2 linked regions of the Ovis aries genome follow. The protein of the gene in region 1 binds, or shares a complex with, the protein of each later gene. Links are inferred from orthologs where the notes say so. Each region holds a gene or a part of one and is shown in the gene's direction. Other genes may lie near its edges.

Region 1 (3,802 bases):
GTCCGTGGTGCCTTGGGTCAACGACCAGGACGTCCCTTTCTGTCCGGACTGCGGGAATAAGTTCAGCATCCGCAGCCGCCGCCACCACTGCCGCCTCTGCGGGTCTATCATGTGCAAGAAGTGCATGGAGCTCATCAGCCTTCCCTTGGCGAGTAGGTGACGTGGGGGCAGCCTGGACCCTCACCTCCTGTAGAGACCAGCCCCCACTGGGGGGCTGGGGGTGCTTTTTGTTTCGGTATTTGGTCCATGGGACCTTCCATTTACTGTTGATTCCTTGAGGCCCACTACAGCCTTGGCCCTGTGCTAGGGCCCAGGGGAGCAATGGTCTGTAGTAGAGGTTGGCCAGCTTTTCCCATAAGAGACCAGATAGTGAGTACTTTAGGCTTTGTGGCCCACATCCTGTCTCTGTGACATTTCTTCTTTATTACACAGCCTTTTTGAAGTGTGAAAACCATAGGTAGCTTGAGGGCCACATACGAAGCCAGGCAGACTTGGCTCGCCGGTCGTTGTTTGCCCACATGTGGTCTATCAGCATCGTCCATTCCTCCAGGGTAGGAGGAACCCAGTGGCCCAGGACTTTGAATCTCAGCTGGTGAAAAGTTGCTGGAGATGATCTCAAGGCATTCTGGCTGACTCTGGGATGTGTGGGGGTTTTGCAACCCTGCAGAGTTCCGGTGATGCATGTGCTGTTGGCTGCAGGGCATCTGGGTAATGTGGGAAGGGGCAGATGTTTCCTGGGTGGGGCTCTGGTGTCCAGTGGGCACGTGTCACCTTGGTAAGTTCCCTTTCACCCCAAGACGACTCCCTGTCTTAGCTGAGCTATGTTCTGGGGACACGCTTCATCTTCCTTCTCTTGGGCTGATTAACTGATATTTACTGGGCAGCTGCTGTGCGGTAGCCCTACTGGAACAAACCCATAGGGATGCAAAGATGAATGAGACAGTCTGTGCCCTCGGAATCACAACTGCTTGGGCAGCTCTGGGCTGTGCATAGAGCTGTCATCACACGGAACAAGTGGGAAGTGCCCCAGGAGGAGTGACATGGTGGGAACTGATAGGTGGGCAAATGGTTTTTACCTCAAGGAATTGAGGAAGGCTTCCTGGAGGATGTGCCATTTGAGCTGAGATTTGGCAGGGGTAGCAGTGGGGTTTGGGCATGGGGGAAGGCTGCGGGGGCGGTCCCAGGGAGAGCCTGGGTGTGTCCGGGCAGCTGGAGCAGGGCAGGAGGTGGTAAGGCCAGATTGGGGTGAGCCTCAGAGCTTCAAGGACAGACTGTCCTTGGCTCCTGGCTGTCTCCTGGAGGCACTGGGCGTCCAGCCCACCGCAGAGCCTGAGTCCTGGCAGGCAGAGGTGTGGGTGCCTCTTGCCCGGGGCAGCGTCTGCACCCCGCCTGTGGAGTTCACCACTGCCCATCCTGTGTTCTTTACAGACAAGCTCACCAGTGCCAGCAAGGACTCCCTGAGCGCTCACACCAGCCCCAGCCAGTCACCCAACAGCGTCCACGGCTCCCGCCGGGGCAGCATCAGCAGTGTGAGCAGCGTGAGCTCCGTCCTGGATGAGAAGGACGATGACCGGATCCGCTGCTGCACACACTGCAAGGACACGCTCCTCAAGAGGGAGCAGCAGATCGACGAGAAGCAGCGCACGCCCGACGTCGTGAGGCTCTACGAGGTGATTCCGGGCCGGCTTGAGTCCAGTTCCAGAGGCCGGGCTCTTCGTTATGTGCACGCCCGTGGATTTTGAAAAATGCTTTGGGAAATCGTTCCTTTCAGTTACTTTTAGTTTCTGCCAGAGGGCACTAGCTGGGGCCCTGCGTGAGTCGCAGAGTCACTGGGTGTGTTGCAACAAACTTGCTTCCTTGCCCTTCCCTGCCCACCTGAGAGTTGGAGGTTGGCGCTTTCGGTGGCCCAGGGGCAAGAGGAGGAAGGCTGGTTGCCATGCGGTATGGACAGGTTCTGTGGGTCAGAGCGGGAGCAGGAGCTGGTGGTGAATAGTGGACCAGAAGGGTCCTGGGACACTCACGTGGGAGTTTGAGAAACTTCCCAGAAGCACAGAGCTTCCTCTTTTGAGTCCCTTCAAATGCCTCAGCTCCGGTTACCACCAGCAACCCTGCAGTGCCTTGAGGAGCTGCTGCGTTACAGGAGCAGAGTGTAGCCAGAGCCTGCGGTTCAGAGTCAGACTGGGCATGAGCTTGACTCTGCCTCCTAACTGGGATGAGGCCTGCAGGCTGAGAAGGATGAGCCAGGAGGGTGTTGGGCAGGGAGGTGATAGGAAATGGGGAGGAGCGGAAGGAAGCAGTTGGTGCAAAACCGGACAGGGGAGAAGAGAGTTTTTGTCTGGTCATCACTGAATGGTCACTATTAGCAGCTCTGTGGGCCCCAGTGGTTGTGTTTCTGGAACCACAGTGAAAATAGTCAGACTACTAGAAATGGTGTTAATTAAAACCTTGCTGAGCTGCAGACGTAGCTGTTGTCCATTGTTATGTGGAGCTCACGATCTGATAATTTCTGTAAACAGCCGCTAAGCTTTTGGTTTCCTTCTTTTTTGAAGTGAGCCCTGGCAATGCCTTGTGTGGTGTCTAACGTCACCTGGCAGATAAAGGCCATAGCAACTGATTTCTTTTGCTACCTTGGTGAGCTCACATGACGTGTGTCCTGGAGGGCCTTGGTCCTCTCAAAAACATCTGGCCAAAGTTCACCCTTCTTTCCTTCCTACAAGATTTCCTTGTAGAGTAGGTCTATAAACCAGGAAATTGATAACAATGAACAGGACAAAACTAAAAGCCACTCTCTGCATTTTTTTTTTTAAATTTAGAAAACTGCACATTTTATATACATCTCCATTGATTCCGCATAACCTTTTTGTTGCCTTTTCTGTATCTTGAGACACAACTCACCTCTTCTTTTTTGTTCTTAGAAATTACGGCTTTGCATGGAGAAAGTTGACCAAAAAGCTCCTGAATACATCAAGATGGCAGCATCGTTAAAGTAAGCTCTTCCTCTCTGTTTTACTGACTCAGTGGTGACTGTTTTCTGGCATTCTGGTCAATTCTTTAGTAGCTGAAGATGTAGGCCCTGCCCTTTTCCCTTCAGTCCTTGCAGCGAGACGCTGCAGCCCCTTGCAGCAGACAGTGGAAGCGCGGGGAGCCCTGTTTCTTGAGTCCTCTCAGCCCCACTGTCCCCGACTACCCCCATATACCTGCGCCTCCTGCGTCCCAGCCCTCCTGTCTCCACTCCTTGCTCGAGACCACTGGCTCTGAAGGAGAGCAGGAAAAGCCCAGTCCCTTCTCCGCCTGCAGTTCACTGAGTGGTCACTTCACTCAGCGGGTCCCACTGCCCTCCTGGGAGCAGCTGGGAAGAAGCGTAAACCTCCCCGGAACGGAGAGTCCTTGACTGGGAGCGTCTGCCGCGTGCTCCTTTCCTCCCTGGAACTCACTGGAGGCCACGTGCCCTCCTCCCTCCCCTGCCCGTGGGTTTAAAATTAGAGGAGGCCTTCCTTCTACCTGGACGCCAGCAACATCAGCTGGTGTTCCTGGCAGTGAGCTGGCATCCAGCCCTTTCCTCAGGACATTGTCACCCTAGGGCCTCCTCTCCCAGAGTCCCGTTGGGTTTTTGCTCTGTGCCTTAGACACCATTGTGGGTCCGTGGGCTCTCCGCTAGCCAGAGGGGAGCTACCACTGCTGAGCGCATTTCCAGGCGTGTTAACTCTTCCTCCAGAGACCAGTTCTGAGGGGCTTCAGCAGGTGCATTTCAGTCTGCCGCTCATTCACTCAGCGGATGTTACCAAGCGCGCGTTAGGTGCCG
Region 2 (4,295 bases), on another chromosome or scaffold:
CATCCCCGGCAGGTCAGCCTGCCTCCCAGCCGGCAGCGCTGGCCTCCCGCTGGACACCTGCGGCCGCCGCCGCCTAGTTACACATTCACCCCGACCCGGGTTGATCATTGCAGCTCAGAGGAAGTCCTTCGTTGGCCGAGTGCCCCAGATGACGACGGCCACGTCTTTGCGGAGGCGGCCCACCTGGCAAAGGGCGGCCTGCCTCTCCGAGGCGGGCACTCAGCCTCCTCTGTGCGGGAGCGGACCGTGATGCTCAGCCCCGGACACCCCCAGCCCCTCCCGGTCACCTCCGGGCCTGCGGGCCGCCGACGGCTCCCCACCCCTGCAGCCACCGCAGGGGCCGCCCGCCCCCGCGCGCCCCGCCCCGGCTCCGCTGCGCCCCGCCCCGGCTCCGCTGCGCCCCGCCCCGGCTCCGCTGCGCCCCGCCCCGGCTCCGCTGCGCCCCGCCCCGGCTCCGCTGCGCCCCGCCCCGGCTCCGCTGCGCCCCGCCCCGGCTCCGCTGCGCCCCGCCCCGGCTCCGCTGCGCCCCACGGCCGGCCCCGCCCCAGCCGGCCCGCGCGCGCCCCCCAGCGAGCGCCGGGTCTCCGCCCCTCCCCTCCCCGCCGCCCCGCCCCTCCCCTCCCGGCCGCCCCGCCCCTCCCCTCCCCTCCCCGCCGCCCCTCCCCTCCCCTCCCCGACGCCCCGCCCCTCCCCTCCCCGCCGCCCCTCCCCTCCCCTTCCCTCCCCGCGCGCCCCCAGCGAGCGCCGGGTCCCCGCCCCTCCCCTCCCCGACGCCCCGCCCCTCCCCTCCCCGCCGCCCCTCCCCTCCCCTCCCGGCCGCCTCTCCCCTCCCCTCCCCTCCCGGCCGCCCCTCCCTCCCCTCCCCTCCCGGCCGCCCCTCCCCTCCCCTCCCCGCCGCCCCTCCCCTCCCCTCCCCTCCCGGCCGCCCCTCCCCTCCCCTCCCCACCGCCCCTCCCCTCCCCTCCCGGCCGCCCCTCCCCTCCCCTCCCCTCCGCGCCCGGACAGCGGGGCGGGGCCGTGCGCCTGCGCGGAGCCCGCAGTCCGGCGGGGCCGCAGCAGCTGGGGGCCGGCAGTTGCCGCGGGGACCGCGGGCCCCTCCCTCCTCCGCTTCGCTGCCCCTCGCGTTCCCCACCGAGGCGCGGCCGACTCCCCGGCCTCCCTGCCGCCGGCCCGGCGGAGCCGCAGCGGCGCCCCGCGAGAGGCGGAGCCGCTCCCAAGATGTCGCAGACGGCCATGTCCGAGACCTACGGTACGGGGCGGGGGGCGCGGGCCGGGGCCGGGGGCGTGGGGACCGGGATCCCAGTGCTGGGGCGCGGCCGCCCGAGGGTAGCCCGGCTATGTGATCTGCTTCTCCGAGGGTCTGCCTGCTGCTTCTCCGCGTACTTGCCGGTAGGGTTTCCGTTTCTTGGTCTGATGTTAGTTCAGGGTTTAGGGAAGCCCATTAGAGACTGCGATGCTGTCCCCAGCGAGGGATGTGAAGGACTTGGGACGACGCCTGCAGTTGAGTGTGTTCTTCGACTCTTCCACTTTGACCTTTCCTTGCTTGAAATTCCTTCCTTTGCACGCAAATTACAAGGACTTATGGACAGGCATTTCTTCCTTCCGAGACCTTTCAAGCTGTATGGTGGCTGTTTATAAATGTATCTTTGCAAGACTATAAACACCTCGGAAGCAGAGCCTGTTCTGCTTGATCTTTGCTTCTTCTGTAGCACTCACACCCGAAGGCAGCCAGCAGACATTTTTTTTTTTAAATAAACGAAAGCCTTCCCAATTCATAATCTGTGTGTTTTTGTCCTGCGTGGTAAAAATAAACAATAGAGTACATCTCTGCTTTGTATCAAGGTTTACTAGTGTTTACCAGTCTGGAGTCACTCTGAGATTGGGCATTCTCAGATTAAGTCTGATTTTGATTTTACAGCCCCAGGGAGGGGCTCGAGTTCAAAAACATTACCTCTAGTCAAATTCGTCATGTCTTCTTCCGTGTGCCCTGGCGTGCTGCCCCTTTCTGTCAGCAGATAGGTGTGGACCGGCTTTACGGGCTGGTGTGGTTTCCAACAGTGCAAGGTACCCTCCTGCACTGTTCTGGTCTTGGCAAGCTAGTCCATTGGGGGATACAGTGTTAATCCACTTATGATACTAGTGAATATTAAAAAAAAAAAAAACCCAGGCTGGAGTTCTGAAGGAATATGGTCTCTGAAGGTATGTTAAAAAGAAATGTGACTCAGACCTGAGGCACGGAGGCATTAACTGGTCTACAAGTGCCCAGGCCCTGAGGGATCCAGGATGCCTGTAAGAGGACTGTGGCTGAGGCCCCTCAAGCACCCAGGCATTTGCTCCACCTTCAGCCACTCCTGTGCCTGGTACCTGCCTTGTTCTTGGTAACACTGGGAGCAAGACAGCTATTCCTAGAAGGTTTAGGGAGTCGGAAACCACACCCCTGGCTTGTAAGGATCAGTGTTGTCAGAGCTTCTAATGTTACTGTACTTGCCACATCCACGTGGTCTGCCTCTCTATAGAGAACCATAGTCAGATTTCCTAAAAAAAAAAAAAAAAAATCCATTTCTCCAGCAAGTGTTGGTTATGCTTTTGCTTTTTCTTTATTTTTCAAGTGCTCCTTTCCCCACGCTTTTTTTTCCCTCTCTGACCTGGAGAAGGAGCACATGGGAGCAGTGGAAAGTCCAAGTAAGAAACCAAGTGGGGTTACGAGTTAGGAGGAGGACTGAAAGATGGAGCTTTTATGTTTCATCTGTCTCATGTGAAACATGCATGCTAAATTGCTTCAGTCGTGTCTGACTCTTTGTGACCCAATGGACTGTAGCCTGCCAGGCTCCTCTGTCCATGGGATTCTTGAGGCAAGAATTTTGGAGTGGATTGCCATTTCCTCTGAAGTGGAGACACCATATTTTGTATGAAATGATAACCTTGATAAAAGATGGTGTCTCCATTTCAGACAGAGCTCATCGAGCATCACAGGTCAACTGATCAAATTCTGTTCATCAGGCTTTGACCTTTATTCCTCTTCTTTCATGGTGGCTTCCAAATATGTTTTTAGTTTTTACTAATTGTAGTCCTTCCCTCTAATAGAAGAAATTAAGTGAAACACATAGAAATTTAGTTTTAGCAAGAGCAGTGTGGCACTTCACAGTGCTAACCCAAAATAAAAGTCACCCCAAACCAAGCAATCACCTTCACTTATCATTGGTAGATTTGCATAGCATTGTTTCCCAGATGGAAAACAGTTTCCCTCCTTTCAGACGTTTGCCTGTTAGGTAGATGGTAAAGGAATGTTTTCCTAATCTTTAAACTCCTTAGTACTCTGTGCTCACTTTCTCTCTTCTGGAAAAGGAATCTCTGTAGTTGGCCAGGGATATGATGAAAAACGAAGAACTATTGCTTACCAGTATACTGTTAATGAGTACACGTTCATGAGCTGTGTCCGCATGCCTTTTAGCTTCTTAAGGCAGTGTTTCACCTTCCAGTGACTGGTGTTCAACATTTTGCTGCTCCAGAAACACCAACCACATGAATACCATACCTTATGTAATACTTTATGTAATATTGCAATACAACATTGAAATCTCAAACATACCGGTTTCTGACTGAAAGCTCCGGCTGATTATCCCTAAACAGTGCTTCACAAATACCGTTAAATTCACAGCATTCTTAAAGGCCTGGCCAGTTGATGTGGCTTGGGACTTCCCAAGGAGATCGATTGGCTGATCACAGATTGGCTTTAGGTGATTTCTGATACCAAGATTTGTGAGACAAAAACTCACAAATCAAATATTAATATCAAGCAGTGATGTTCAGAAAGGAGCTAAAAAGTATAAGTGGTATAGAAGATGCTAGAAATTAAAAAAAAAAAAAAAGATTTAAGGGCTGGGGCAGTTTGAGAATGAGGAAAAAAATCTAAGCCAAATCTCTATACACACTGTAATTTATGCATTCTACCATGACAATTTATGAAGCAAGAACACAAATTGTTGGTCCTGTACTAGCTTTATTACAATGGACTCTTAATATTTTTATTTTGTGCTTTAGTTCGAAAATATTACAGTATTTACCATATAATTTTGAGAATTATCAGGATATTTTCTTTTTAAAATGTGTGATTGTATGCTGCTGTGGGTTGAATTGTATCCCCCAAAAGGTATGTTCAGGTCCTAAGCGCAGGCACCCTGTGACTGTGACCTTGTTTGGAAACAGGGTCTTTACAGGTGTAATTAGGTTCAGATGAGGTCATGTCGGGTTAGGGTGAGCTCTCATGCATTGGAGTTCTTGTAAGATGAGAGGAA

Evidence for each region.
Region 2: the proteins of RBSN (region 1) and RAB4A are in contact, whole or in part, in a crystal structure (PDB 1Z0K), measured with the Homo sapiens proteins. The link is inferred for Ovis aries from reciprocal best matches to the Homo sapiens genes RBSN and RAB4A. Residues at the interface, in NP_001289307.1 of Homo sapiens: Glu441, Gly442, Trp443, Leu444, Pro445, Ser447, Glu454, Pro458, Leu459, Gln461, Gln462, Asn465, Ile466, Phe469, Asp480, Glu481, Thr484, Leu485, Asn488, Leu492, Glu495, Gln499; in NP_004569.2 of Homo sapiens: Tyr10, Leu30, His31, Ile34, Glu35, Ile46, Gly47, Val48, Glu49, Phe50, Gly51, Ser52, Lys53, Lys63, Gln65, Trp67, Arg74, Phe75, Ser77, Val78, Ser81, Tyr82.

Annotation. Positions count from the first base shown.
Region 1 is NC_056072.1:57,112,476-57,116,277, forward strand, and holds part of RBSN (rabenosyn-5), read left to right. Parts: coding exon 1-152; intron 153-1,428; coding exon 1,429-1,670; intron 1,671-2,915; coding exon 2,916-2,986; intron 2,987-3,802. UniProt on the Homo sapiens protein: Rab4/Rab5 effector protein acting in early endocytic membrane fusion and membrane trafficking of recycling endosomes. Required for endosome fusion either homotypically or with clathrin coated vesicles.
Region 2 is NC_056078.1:777,123-781,417, forward strand, and holds the start of RAB4A (ras-related protein Rab-4A), read left to right. Parts: upstream 1-1,218; coding exon 1,219-1,249; intron 1,250-4,295. UniProt on the Homo sapiens protein: The small GTPases Rab are key regulators of intracellular membrane trafficking, from the formation of transport vesicles to their fusion with membranes.